Drosophila melanogaster: one gene and its partner. The protein of the gene in region 1 interacts with the protein of each later gene in a pairwise test. Each region holds a gene or a part of one and is shown in the gene's direction. Other genes may lie near its edges.

Evidence for each region.
Region 2: the proteins of CG7409 (region 1) and CG15199 interact in a two-hybrid assay, tested with the Drosophila melanogaster proteins (one large-scale study listed by BioGRID).

What each region holds. Positions count from the first base shown.
Region 1 is NT_037436.4:7,751,523-7,758,134, forward strand, and holds CG7409 (uncharacterized protein), read left to right. Parts: upstream 1-2,886; 5' UTR 2,887-3,007; coding exon 3,008-3,472; 3' UTR 3,473-3,646; downstream 3,647-6,612. Other genes in the region: CG32373 (uncharacterized protein), read left to right, coding at 5,588-5,657, 5,770-6,065, 6,131-6,242, 6,306-6,431, 6,509-6,612.
Region 2 is NC_004354.4:11,137,469-11,144,942, reverse strand, and holds CG15199 (uncharacterized protein), read left to right. Parts: upstream 1-3,107; 5' UTR 3,108-3,137; intron 3,138-3,704; exon of another isoform or gene 3,705-3,774; 5' UTR 3,775-3,911; coding exon 3,912-4,153; exon of another isoform or gene 4,154-4,214; coding exon 4,215-4,323; 3' UTR 4,324-4,469; downstream 4,470-7,474. Other genes in the region: CG15201 (uncharacterized protein), read right to left, coding at 248-329, 461-623, 694-790; CG15202 (uncharacterized protein), read right to left, coding at 1,564-1,684, 1,749-1,881, 2,170-2,263; ssp7 (short spindle 7), read left to right, coding at 4,699-4,765, 4,834-4,942, 5,009-5,099; CDK2AP1 (CDK2-associated protein 1), read right to left, coding at 6,041-6,886.

The sequences.
Region 1 (6,612 bases):
GTAGCTAAAGTTTTAGCGGTTTCTCATTGCAAGTCCTTTTAATTAAACGTATTATTTTCATATAACATTTATTGATTTCCACTTCGTTGGTTAAATGAAAAGCGATATATATTTATCTCGTTTAAATATGAAAATACATTTTCCAACTGACTGAACTTAATTGAATATTCAGTTGATTTAATGTGTAATCTGATTTTAGTAGGTTTTCTATTTATAAATATTTTCAGTTGTGCAAATGTCATTAAATCAGTTTTTTTCGGCTATTATTTGGGGTATATTTTAGGGTATATGAGGATCGGCTTTTCTGCTCCATTCCTTACACTTTCTCAGGGATAACTCTTGCCAGTTTTTTGGCTCTGTTGTGGCAACTTTTGTTGTGGCTGCTTTTTGGGGACTTTTTCTTCGGAACTTGCGACCTACAACCTACGACCTGCAGTGTTCACTTCGCTTGGCCAATTACGGTTTTAAGTCCTGCTGGCTCCTCGTCGTCCTGTCTTTTTCTCCGACTTGAACTTTTGCTTTCGTTTTGCCCATACTTTTGTGTTTTTCCCCTGCCACAGATTGCCCCGTCTTCTCCTTGGCAGGCGTCGCATTGCAGTGGCCTGTTGGCCAGGTCGAATGCACCTGCTCCTGCACCTGTTTGTTGCCCTTTTGCGGCTGAATGTTTAGTGTCTCGGGGGCCATTTATAGTTACGCTCGACTTCATCGCGCGGCGACTTCATTTGCCACGTGAGCGATGTACCTTATTGATTTCCGAGACTTAATTTGCTTGCCATTTTAAACTACAGCTATTACTCATACGCCACGTTCGCCATGACCGTCTTAAACTTTTGTAGCATACTTGTAGGCTGAATAAGTAATAAGTAATATTTAAAATATTTAAGAATTCATCTCTCTTTTGTGTATATGCAGTCATCTGTTTCCTATCCACGTCCATTGGCACCATGTTAAATGACTAAGTTCATTCCCGTGCTATTGCTGAAAACGATTTAAACATATATAACCATAATCATGAAAATCGGGGGAATGACCTCCCTGTGGGAATTAAGAATGGTGAAGGTCGCGGTGGGTGTGTTTTGCTAATGATGTTTACGATTATAGAAAGTCATCTCTTAGATAATGCCCCACACACAATCGATGCCAAAGAAAGTTGTGCACAACCCACACCCACAGGGATTCGATTCTGATTTTCATTCGATTTTGCCATAAAGTCAAGCAAATTAGTAAATTGCTTTGTTTTGGTCTAATGTATTGTTGTTCCGCCAGCTGCGGCACTTCAATTGGTTTTCAATCGGGAATTTTCTCTAGACTTGACACTCTAGACACTGATAATACAAAAAATAAGTATAAATATATAAATATTTAAATATTAAAATTTAACTATTAAATTTTGTTCGTACGGATTTTAAAGATGTTAAATACTTATTTAGCATATGTGACTATATTTATAACAAATAAGAAATTGGGTAATATAATTTATAAGAACAACGATAATAAATACTTTTTACTTACTTATTATAATATTAATAATAATATTATTTCGAACTTGACACAACGTATCTATTTGTGTGCCTTCGACTGTCTTACGATGTGCTGCATTACAAACCTATTGAACTAGTCCGATGGCAAATGACTTAATGTACAAATACATGCTTAAATGCCATCTAAATTGCGAAACTGCGAAGCTTGTTATAATTATTATAAAACACACACAAAATCTAATGCCAGAATAGCAATAACAACACCGACGGCTGGAACAACAAATTACAGCGACATATGGGGTGGGCCAATCCCAATCCGATGATTGTGTTACGTTACGGGCACGGGCTTTATAAAGAGGGGCAGGCAGGTCAGGCCCATAAATGTTCCGTAGATGTCGCATCCATCGACTAATCGTCAAAAAAATCGTCAAAATTTTTTTTACAAATTGCCCTTTTGTCATGACAAACTCAATCCCCCTTTTATGTTGCTGTATCTATAGATTGTGTATCTGTAATCCGCGTATCTCTGTTAATTTCTATCGTGTACAAAATTTAAAGCCGAATTTGGTCAAAAAGTGAAAAGAATCACATCCGTCAAAGAAATGTGTTGGTTTTTATTTGGGCTTGCTTTGATTTTGTTTTTTAATTTGCAAACGGAAGCAAAGAGTAATTAATTTCAAAATACGAATTCTGCCAACATTTTTTGGAATGTTTCCACCGTTTTTAATGCGTTGCCGATATGGGAGAATGATTTGGTAAATGAAAGAGAAAAACATAAACAAATAAGGACACGCAAACATCTGCATCATTGGAAAGCAAAATATGTATTTGTTGGATAAAAAACGAAAAATTTTCAGCATATAAAGATTTTTATTTCAAATCTACTGAATAATTAGCAGGTTAGCAGTACCTTTGGAGAACCGCTGAAAATTTATAGCCTCTACGGAAACTAGTCTGCAAATCAACCCACCCAGCATATGATCTCGAAGCGCCTCAAGGAAATAACATGCAAAGGCATTTTTTCGACCCACAGCCCCATTTCCTTATATACAAGCGTCAATGCAAAGATAAACAATCGAAAACATCGCCCAGTTTTAACGCCACTGTAACTGCAACTGGTGCACTGCGGTAAAAAAATCGATGAATTATATTTAGAGCATTTATTAAAAATTTTATAACTTAAATTTCATAATCACACAACGTTTCAGATGTAAAAACTATATTTAAGATGCAGCAGCTTGCCGTATTTTTTGAATTCCTAACTGGGATGCCGCTTTTTTTTTTGAACAGTGTGCCTACTACGTCACAACTGTCATTGGCTATTGACTAGAATCTGTGTTGAGCCGAGCTGATCCCACGGGGCGAAGCTTATGGCTATATAAGCGTCGACTACTATCGTTTCCAAGTTTAATTTGCTCAGAGCAGAAAACGCGAGTGGACGTCTATCAGAAAGCGCGATAAGTGGAAAGTAAATACAAACTAGCGTTGCTGTTGGTCCTGTCCTAAGGAATAATAACTACCACAAAATGGCTCTTGTCCCGGCTACAAACAATACGGATTGGGATTACTGGGATTACCGTCGTCGGCTGTGGCGCGATTGGGATTTGAACGACTGGGACTTGCCCTACTGGAAGCGATCACTATCTCGCGTTGGATCCGCACCCGATCTAAGTCGGGTAATTGTCGGAAAGGATGGTTTCGAGGCCAATGTGGATGTGCACCTGTTCAAGCCCTATGAGATTAGCGTGAAGACCTCAGGCGACACTGTGGTCGTGGAGGCCAAGCACGAGAAGCGACGTGATGGTGACACCTTCGTGGGTCGCCACATCGTCAAGCGGTTCGTCCTGCCCCGAGGATACTATCCCAACGATGTGCGATCGGAACTGTCGTCCGATGGCATACTTACCGTCAAGTGTCCGCCGTATTTGACCAACGAGCGGAGTGTGTACGTCCGCCAAGTGGGTCCTTCGTATCTAAGCATCAAGAACTAATCACAGTCTATAGCATCGTAACTCCGTGTTTTGTTCTTAGTTACTTTCTGTTGGAGCTAAAATTAAGACAAAAGTAATGCACATATTTCTAAGACTAGAATTGGACTCTTTTTGTTATTAACAAAGCAACGTTTGTTTAGTTAAATAAAATAAAAGTTTAATTTATTAATAATGAATTCAGACTATCTTATTTGGCAGTGGTTTCATTCCTTTTCTTTTCCCAACCGCCAGCGGATGTGTTCAACTTGACTCGAAGCTTTAAAACAATGGCCAAGAAGATGTCAACATAAATTGACTCAAGTCGTACAAAGAGAGAAAAAGCCATCGTCTGACCAAACAAACAAGTATCCGCTCGAATATAGTCAGTATCTTCCGAGCATTCTTACCCAGAGTATCTTTCATATGGGTAAACACTACGCCCTCGAGCGATTTCCGTAATTTGCCAACTAAGGTTAACTTCAAATGTAAATGGGCCAATAAACAACAACAGCTTTGAGCCAAAACCTACACGTAGAAGTTACACATGTGCTCCACCTGGAAATAGCCAGAAAATAGAGCTGGGAAAATTAATCTAGTTTAAATTGACCATAGAAAGTAACGAGAATCACGCGCACACAATATTTCTACAAAAGCATGGGATATTATATATAGTTATGTATATTTTAAAGAATTATCTTCTAAATATAAATATTCTTGATCTAGAAGACATGAATAGCAGCAGTTCCCCAAAAACATGTGTTTAAAAAAAGAAAAGAAGGCACGGTTTTTAAGCATATGCTATCATTATACAACAAAAATTGATTGACTACAGAAAAACTTGCCTCTGACATATTGCTTTTCCTTATCATAAGGCTACGGGTGAGAGATACCCTCTAATTACATTTGAACAGGAAATCAAATACATATATGAACATTCGGTCTAAAATCCAAATCTAAAGAGAACATTTTGGAACGGTACGAAATGTTTACCTACATTTAATGTATTTGTTTGGGTCTTTATCTAATGAACAGTCAAACCAAAAGATAGTCTTATCAAAGCTCTGAGTAACCGATTTTTGCCAAAAATATATGTAATAACAAGTAAAAACTGCATACCACTAACACTTGAAAAAAAACATTTAAAAATTTGTTTTATTTCTGAGCAAACACCACCACGAGAAAACATTTTTAAATGAGCGAACAAAGTCACGCCAATCTGCGACCCAATAAAATTTTCAATTAGGTGTAAGCTCTAAATGTTTTCAGTTCTTTTGAGCAAAATCGATTTGGCACTTAAAATGCAATTCATCAATGAAAAATTCGGACAAAGGAAAAATTGGGTTTCCTATCCAAGTAGTGGGGATCGGGTGGCATATATATATATGTATATATATATATATATAAAATATATATAGAGAATAACATGTTTGCTCGGCCAACCAAATAAGTCTAAGAGTAACACACCTACGCTAGATTTCTATTGTATTTAATTTCGTTTAATTAAAATCCATTTACAGTATGGCGAGCAGTTGCAGCGGCGCATTTGATTTCGATTGCGAGTTTAATTGATGTAATGTCAGCTTATATAGTTGAATAACATAATTTAACACTTAGGTTTAATAATCTTCTGAAAATGCTTATACCCTACTGATAATGGGTACCGAAATAGTATTTTTGCCTTGCCGGCCAAATACCTGATAATTCAGTTTGTCGTCAGTTTTCCTTTGGAGCGATTCGTTGTTTGCCGATACGTTAATAAATGAATATTAAAAAAAAGGGTTACGGCATTAAAAAAAAACCTATATATTTTGTAAATAATTATCTTAACAGTGTTTACATCAAACATACATTAAAAGTGTTGAACATGGTAACGGAAAAAAAGTAAAAATACATGTTCATAGATGGCAACTAAAATTAAATACAATTACTAACATCTGTTACTCACAATATTCTAAATATTGTAAATATTATTGCGTTTATTTTTTAATTAATTAAGTGTGTACTTTTAGGCAGACATTTTAATGCAAGTTGGTGACAAGCGCCTCAATGGGAGACACTTGATTAAACAAAACGTTTACTTTCGGCTGATGTTTTCTTAAGTAATCCAATCATGAACATGTTTATATAATTATTGAAATGGTGCAAAACAGAATGTCGACATCAGTGATTGTTTTGTACGCGCTTATGTGTATCGCATTTTCCACAGGTATGTTGTGAATCCATTATAACATAACCATAAGTAAGAAAAATTTCTATTATATACAATTATTTATTTATTTATTTGAATTACATTGATTTTTAATGCATTAATTTTACAGCTTCGTTAAATGATATTCCCGAAATCACCCCCGCAATAGATAACAATTTATCTTTTCAATACGACGATACCTGCTGGACTCCTCCGAGGATTAAAAATGCTAAGGCATCCGTCAAACTTCGCCGAAATGGGGAACATGTCTTTCTTGTGACCTATTATTCCTGCCGCGTCAACTACAAACTCAAACGTGCCAAAGATAATGCACTCTATTGCTCAAATGGTATATGGCTTGGTTTGAAACCCAATTGCATAAAGATTGGTAAAGGAAACACGCATTCAATGAAGCAAAAAAAAATGGTAATGATTTTTTGGAAACTGATCTCTTGATCATAAGATACATTTATAAGTCGTCTTTATTGTAGAGATGCAGGATTGATAATGGTGGTTGCGCTCATATATGTAACAGATCAACTCATAAATGCGAATGCTATGAGGGTTATACACTGAATTCCACCGATTTAAGAAGCTGTAATGGTAGGTACACATTTTTTAATCAATATATCCTTAAGATACACTAAGCTTTATCTTCTGTTTCAGATATCGACGAGTGCAAGGAATCGAATGGCGGCTGCTCTCAAGTTTGCAACAACCTTCCTGGTGAATTCATATGCACCTGTAATAGTGGTTTTGAAATAGACGAAAGTGATGAAAAAACTTGCTTGGGTAAGTACTAAAAAAATTATGTCGAAATCTATAAGCAAAACAAAAAAATACCTATAAATTTACTTACCACCTTCTAGACATTGATGAGTGCGCTGATCCCGAACTATCGTGGGACTGTACGGCTGGATGTAAAAACCTAAATGGAACATACAAATGCCTTCCGTCACTGGTGGGCAGAGTT
Region 2 (7,474 bases), on another chromosome or scaffold:
GGCCGCCGAATTCGCATCCACATGTTATTAATCTAAGAACTAAAGAAATAAAAAATAAACGTCGAAGAAAAAAAAACTAAACGAACGGAGCTGGATTTGCATTTGAAAGATGATAAGGAAATGATGCTAGATTATAGTTATCGCATACCCTGTAATTGAATGGGTAGCACATATATTCCGTTAGCTAATCGTCTACTGTTTACATTTCTACATTTGAATACACTGTTCTTAATGAAACTCCTCGGATTTAGGGACACTTGAGGCAGCAGGCAGGGAAAACTCCGGTGAAGCGATCCTTGTTGCCGCAGGTGACCTTCTGCTGTCCACAGCTGAAAAAAAGATATTGTAGATGGCTTGGTTAGAATCATGTGGAGATCGGGGCAAAGTTCAGCTAGGAAATATTTTGTTTTCTTCATGCAACCTAAGTTGCTAATTAAGATCGCTGTCATGATGCACTTACTCCTCCACGATGGTCTTGAAGGTGTCCGTGCAGATGGCCCGCTTGAGGCACTTGCCATCCTTGCCGAAGTCCACGTAGTCCTGTCCGCGTCTCAGCAGCGGCAGATACTTGAGAAAGATGGTCTCATCCTCCGAGTTGCGGTAGGAGCACACGGGTTCGCTGGCTACGTACAAGATACATATGATTACATATGACATATGGAACAGTAGTAGGAGATCCCATGGCCAGCTTACCCGCATCGACGGTAGGCAGCAGTGCCTGCGGAAGCAGGAGCGCCAGCAGCAGCAGGACGGCCGCCAGCAGCCAAATGGATCCGCAACGGTTGTGCATCTTTGGAGCGCGGTGACGAGACTGAACCGAGAGCTGGCCCAGCCCGTTGCCTATTTATAGGTTGCCCAAAAGAGCCACTTGGAGCGCGGCTCGTTTGCGAATCAGCCAGTCAGTAGTCAGTGGTGATTTGCATTTTCAGCTGCTTGATTGAGTGGGATTCCGCGAGCACTTGCTAATTGCTTAATTGCCAGGGAGGCGGACTGATCAGATGCGTAGTTTCCACAGAGAGTGTGCTCTTCCAGATCGTACAAAGGTGTCCAAATGGATCATCGTCTCAAAGGGAACAAAATTAAATTAAAAATTAATCATTGCCGTTTACTAACATTCCGTTTTGAATTTTGAGCACAAATCCCAAAAATATCCGCATAAAATGCAAGAACATACAAAAGTTTAGTTTAAAGCAAGATCATTAAATTTATTATAAATTATTTCTATTTTATATTTATTATATTGACTTTACTTTTCCACAGTGTTTTTGTGCGTTTCTAGGCTGATTTTAAAGCAACAAATTTTGTGGAGAACCTACTTGAATTACAATGAACTTATCATTTGGCTGAAAATATATACAATGAATTTCATTCTTTGGGTTTTTGTTAGAATAGATACATATATATTTCCGGCAAGAATATCAAAAACATAGAACAATAAACCTATCAACATAAATACGCAATGAACTTACAAGTAATATTTAACAAACATTGTGCCAAAATAAAAATGTACAATACTAGGAAGTATGTTTTTCTATAATAATACTTAGCAGCCAGGAGTCTAAGCTAGATGTAGTTGCTCTCGGACTCCTGGCACACCAGCTTGGGACAGCATTCCGGAAAGGTGCGTCGCATATCCGAGGCGATCCTGCACTTCTCCGTGGGCACCAAATTATGGCGACCGCAACTGAAGTAAACGTAAGTAAATATGCATTAAAAATATATATTCATAATAAGTGTTTTTAACTTACTAGCTAATTTCGAGGACATAGTCTGGTCTGCAGTAGATGGACTGGCAGTAGCCCTCGCGATTGATGGGCTTGTAGGACTGTTTCTTGGGTATGGCCTGGTTGAGCTCCTCGTAGTAGCACTGGCCAGGATAGTCTGGAAACATAAAGCACATAAACGATCATTATCTGGTTGGAACTATAGTACTATATCCCTTTGATTGATATGATATTACTACAGTATCTAAGAGACATTATAGATACTATAGTATCTGGTAGTCATTATAGATACTATAGCATCTGTATATCTGGAATCTATAATATATTCCTTTGATTCATATGAATTTGTTCATATGATATCATTTTCTAGTATCTAGTTTTCACTACAGTATCTAACTACTATCTAGATAGTATAGTATGAATACAGTATCCATTTCTTAATGACCTGGATGCACTGCATTTCCGCGGTAGGTAAGATCCGCCCGAGCGGCTCCACAGATGCCCAGGAGCACCAGGAGACAGGCGACTCCGGCTCGCATAGTCGCCGAATGAGCGGAGGAGCTGGAGGAGGAGGAGGAGGTGATGGTGGTTTTTTTCTTTCGGGGGGATAAGCTAAGAGGCAACACCACGATTGCTCGAAATCCAAATCCGACTTGGCTGTTGAGCGCTGCCCGTGCGACTGAGTCAATTACAATTAATTGTTGTTGCTTTTATATAAAATTAATAATGAACCATGTGCCGTACTACCACGAGTATGTGGCACACATGTGTGTGTGTGCACAACCAGATAGCGATAGCATCTGTGGCTTTTGTTTGCCGACCGACTTAAGGCGTTCGCTTTGCGCCGCCCGCCAGCTCTAGTTTAAATTAAGAATTTAAATTAATTAAGCCAGCCCTGAAAGCGAGAGTGAGTTCTGGCGGGGATCGGCCAGCAGCGGAGGAGTGAAGTTGGCAGGCGGAATCCCCGACAGCCAAGTGACACGGTTCGAGAAACTGTGGCAAGGTTGAGCGGTAATCACGGCACGCAAATAACTCTTTTGTGCCACCGAATTTTGGGCCAGCTACACTTGGAGAAAGCGGACTGTCAATTATATTCTATAGAATAAAACAAAGTAGTTATATACTTAAAATGCCTGCTTAATCCTCAATCCTATGTCAAATCTTCAATTCAGATGTATAGAGATATGTATGTACTATGTACCCCATTCATTTATCGCAGTGTACGCTGAGCACACAACACTTGATTCCCGCGTACGTAATATGTACCTAGATACATTTATGCAAATTTAATGGCACTCACGAGTGCAAGTGCATTGTGATTTCGTCTGGACTGTATTTGCATTAGTTAATTCCGCCGTGATTCGATTGGGATTGAATGGAATGGAGTCAAGTCCACGATTCCCACCAGAACTCGTAAGTTAAGATCTTCTAAGCATAGATCTTCTATAACAAATCGCAAATTAACCATCTACTTAAGGTAGATACAGGATAGATAGTTAGTTACAGTATATATAGATAGATAGATAGATACATTGTAGATGGATAGATACAGTATAGATATATGATAGATATATGATAGATATATAGTTACAGTATAGATAGATAGATTGATAGATATAGTATTGATAGATAGATATATACAGTATGAAGTGATAGATAGATACAATACAGATAGACTAACTAATTATGATAGATACATTACTTGGTATGCAAATTGGTAAGATTGTCGTATTACTTCTTAATTACATATAAGCTATAGGTATAGTTATTAACTTTTGCTAAAAAGTTGACTACATTTTGGGTTCCTCTTCTATTAATCCTACTAGAATTTCCTGAAATGGTTTACCCAACTAATAATTAGTTACCCAGCTCCCAAATGGCTTAACCAATATTTGTTGATTGAAAAACTGAATTACTTTTGCAACTATCCCATGAGTGGAATGGCGAATACCTGATAGCATTTGCTTGGTGCATACTTTCCTGGTCTAGGCCAACATCCTCGAGTGTCAGCAAGTGCGATAACGTGGTGCGCCACTTCCTCCACTTCCAGATGACGAGAGCAAGGCAAACGCAGCCGAAATCGGAATCACGAGAGCGTTGATAGCCAGCTGATAAGATGGATGGCCCGCCGCCTATAAGAGATGAGTTCCGGTGACGACCCAATGCTATTCCACAACGAGAGCAACCATGTCCGGAGCAGCTTGGATGTCCCTAGCTTTTGTGGCCTGTCTGCTGGCCGCATCGGTGGACGGCAATGGGTTCAGCACCCAGTATCGTGGTCACACGCAGCACCCTAGCCTGGCGGAGCACTGCCTCTACGAGGAGTTGGACCTGGCCGTTCCACTCAATGGCTACGTTCTGCCCTCCGGTCAGCAGGGCTACTGCATTCGCTTGGAGTGCACCGATGACTATCTGCTGTTGATACGCCAGTAAGTTTCGAGATTTGATCGCATGCCCTCACTATATCCCATTTCGCCCAATCCCTTCCAGCTGCGACAAACAGCCATGGCCGCGACCTGGCTGCCACCTCTCACCCAACGACTATGATTTCAAGTTCCCCGAGTGCTGTCCCCAACTCGAGTGCTCCGACGAATACTAGATACAAGATACTAGATCCAAAAGCATCGATCTGTTCGGAATTACTATTTCTATTTAAACTATAATCCATTGATCTTGTGGCAAAGTTAGCCAAAGTACTAGTAACAAGTATAATCTTTAGTTAAATAAAAACATATATAGTTTAAGAAACTAATGATGTTATCACTGGAACTGCAGCTGTTTCGCCAGCCTCCGGAACGAATCTGTATGTAACGAGAATTTTCCACCTATTTGATAAACCCGAGGACCCCTGAGACGCAATCGCACGGGAGCACAGGGATCTTGACCTTTCAGTCTAATCGCTGGCGCACCCCGAAACAAGTGGAACTATATAGTCGCCCAGCCGAGCGATCCGTTGATCAGTTAGCTACATAATATGAAATCGGTCACGTTCGTACTCTGCCTGCTCGTTCTGGGCGCCCACTCGCTGCTGGTGTTCGCCGGTAAGTGGATGCAGTGCATCGTCGCCACAAACCATTCAATCCCGCATGTTCATCTTGTTCATTCGTAGTGGATTGCGAGATCGGTGGGCATCAGTTCAAGACCGGAGAGAAGTACACGCCGGAAGGTCGCTGCCTGCAGTACACCTGCCAGGCACCCAAACAGGTGACTGCCTTGGGGTGAGTAGCTTCTACATGGATTGATGACTCCTTGACTCACCCACCTTGCCACTTGTGGCCATCCAGATGCCCGGCCATCGCCTCCTTGAAGCCCTGCAAAATGGAAGAGGATCTGAGCAAACCCTATCCCGGCTGCTGTCCCAAGTTCAACTGCTGACAACGCCTCCCTCGCAAGTCGAACTGCAAATGTGAAATGAACTATGAAAACTGAATATATAACTATAGAAACATACATACCTTAAATGAGAGATGCAGTTGGATGGATGGTTATGAGGGGTTCATACATAATTAGAATCAAGTTTGCCAGTTCTGCGTTTACAAAAACCAAAATAGCGCATTTATTTCGATTTCGATTTCGGTTTCGGTTTGGTATACATGCTTGAACTTAGTCGTATTTGCTCTCATACATATAGTAAATAATGTGTATACATATATAAATATTCTCGTGTCAATTGCCACTAATTCACCATTCACTTGGACATGCACACTGTTCGCTTGCATAACAAGTATATATGTATACATATATCTCTGCTTAACTACATCTACATATCTGCATTTGTATAGTTCTCTAAAATAACGAGGAGCAGCTTTATCCGGCAGTGACAAACTCGCACAAATCCTGTCCAGATACATCCGTATCTGCATCTGCATTTGTATCTGCAAATCCTCGACGGCGGTTGCCATTAGATACTCGTAATTGATTGCATTCACTAACGCAGACACAGGAGCAACTGGGTCTTGCATTAACGGATACAAATTAATGGGTATACGGTAGAGATACACAAGTCCAATAACTTGGGCTGCAGCTATACTTGTAGCATTGTCGATTTAACCGATTGTAACCTGAGCTAGTCTAAACATTCTTTAACTATGGTCCGGCGGCCCGAGGGCCATTAAGTTGATGTGGGCTTACAAGTTAGTACAAATTGCTACACTTTAATGCTTAATTGGGACAAAATGGATCTTTGCGTTTGCTATATGTCCGTGTTTTTTTTTGTTTTTTTTGTTTGGGGGTAATTAACCTAGATGAGGCCGATCCTCGCCTCCTGGTCCATTTCACTCCGGGGTCGCCAGCTGCGGCGCCAGCGACTCCTCCTCTCATTGGCGCGCCGCACGCTCCGTTTCCATGAGGCATTCGCGCACCAGGATGCGGGCATGGACAATGCCCCGCTTGAGACGCTCCGTGGAGCTGCGCGAGCCCGTGTACGTGGGCCGGATATCGCGGCCCATCTCCTCAATGACGGCCAGCAGCTGGGCGTACTTGGTCAGCCCATTGCCCGGGCCCACTGAGGGCAGGCTGGCCGTGGAGGTCAGCGGCGTGGTGATATTGGCCGAAGTTTGGGTGGTCACCACCACGGGCGAGGTGGAGGGTGGCGGGTACTTTAGCTGCGATGAGCTCAGATTCAGGCCCATGCTCTGGCCATTGCTGCCAGAGGAGGTGGAGGAAACGCCGGCACCGGAATTCCGCTGACCACCATTGCTGGAGCACATGTTGGCCAGCGAGAGGGCCGCAGCGGCGACGGCTGCCGGCGTGGCCGTCGTGTTCGACTGCTGCTGGAGTAGCGCCAGCTGGGCCTGGAGGAACTGCGGGGAGTATTGGAGGGCAGCGACGGCGGCGGCAGCTGCTGCTGCATTGGCCGCTGCAGCGGAGCTCTGCTTGCTGGACGAGCTGCTGTAGTCGCTGGCGGAGGAGCGGTCCCGCTCCCGCTTGCCACCGCTGCTCGTGGAGTAGTCGGTGGCAGCGTTGGATGAGTTGGATCCGCCTCCTCCGCCAACGGATCCACGCGAGTGGTGGATGGCCGATATCTGGATTTGGGGCTGCTGCTCGCGCTGCTCCCGCTGCTGCTGGTAATTGTAGAAATTCTGCACTTGGCTGCGCGGTATCGGTGTCACCGTGACGTCACTCAGCTTGGACTCTACGGCCTGGATATCCATGATGTCCATGGTGGCGCTGGGCGATGTGGTGTCTGGAGTCGATATCCGTCGGTTGTTGTGGTAACTTAACTATGTCCACCTTTCCGTTTTCCTGGCACACAAAACTACTAGTTTTTAGCGTTTCTTTTTTGGTTTATTGTTTTTTGTGATATGATATCGATATCGATATCAGGAGGCGTTATTACGCTTTCCCTTCAACGCACAAACAAATACACCCCCACCAACAAAAGTCGATGGTTCGGATTATAGTATCGATAGACAAGCGCGATGCAAAGTGCCCACCTATTCGCGTCTCGAATGTGGGTGTTTCCACTGTACAAGCAATTTGTATACATGTGGAAAGCTCTTTGTCCAAATTGGTAAATGGCTAAATGTTTTTGAAAAAAAGATAATTAACAACCATAAAACTACAAGAAAATTACAAAATTTAACCCAAGTGCATATGTATACATGAATGACAAAACGGTAAAACCATGCAAATGAATAACCATCCACGTCGAATAATACCTAGTTCACCCTGATAAGGCACTCCCAATTTGTCTTATTAAACAGCTAATTTTGTTAGGGCTTAAAAATACCCAACGTTATGTATGTCTA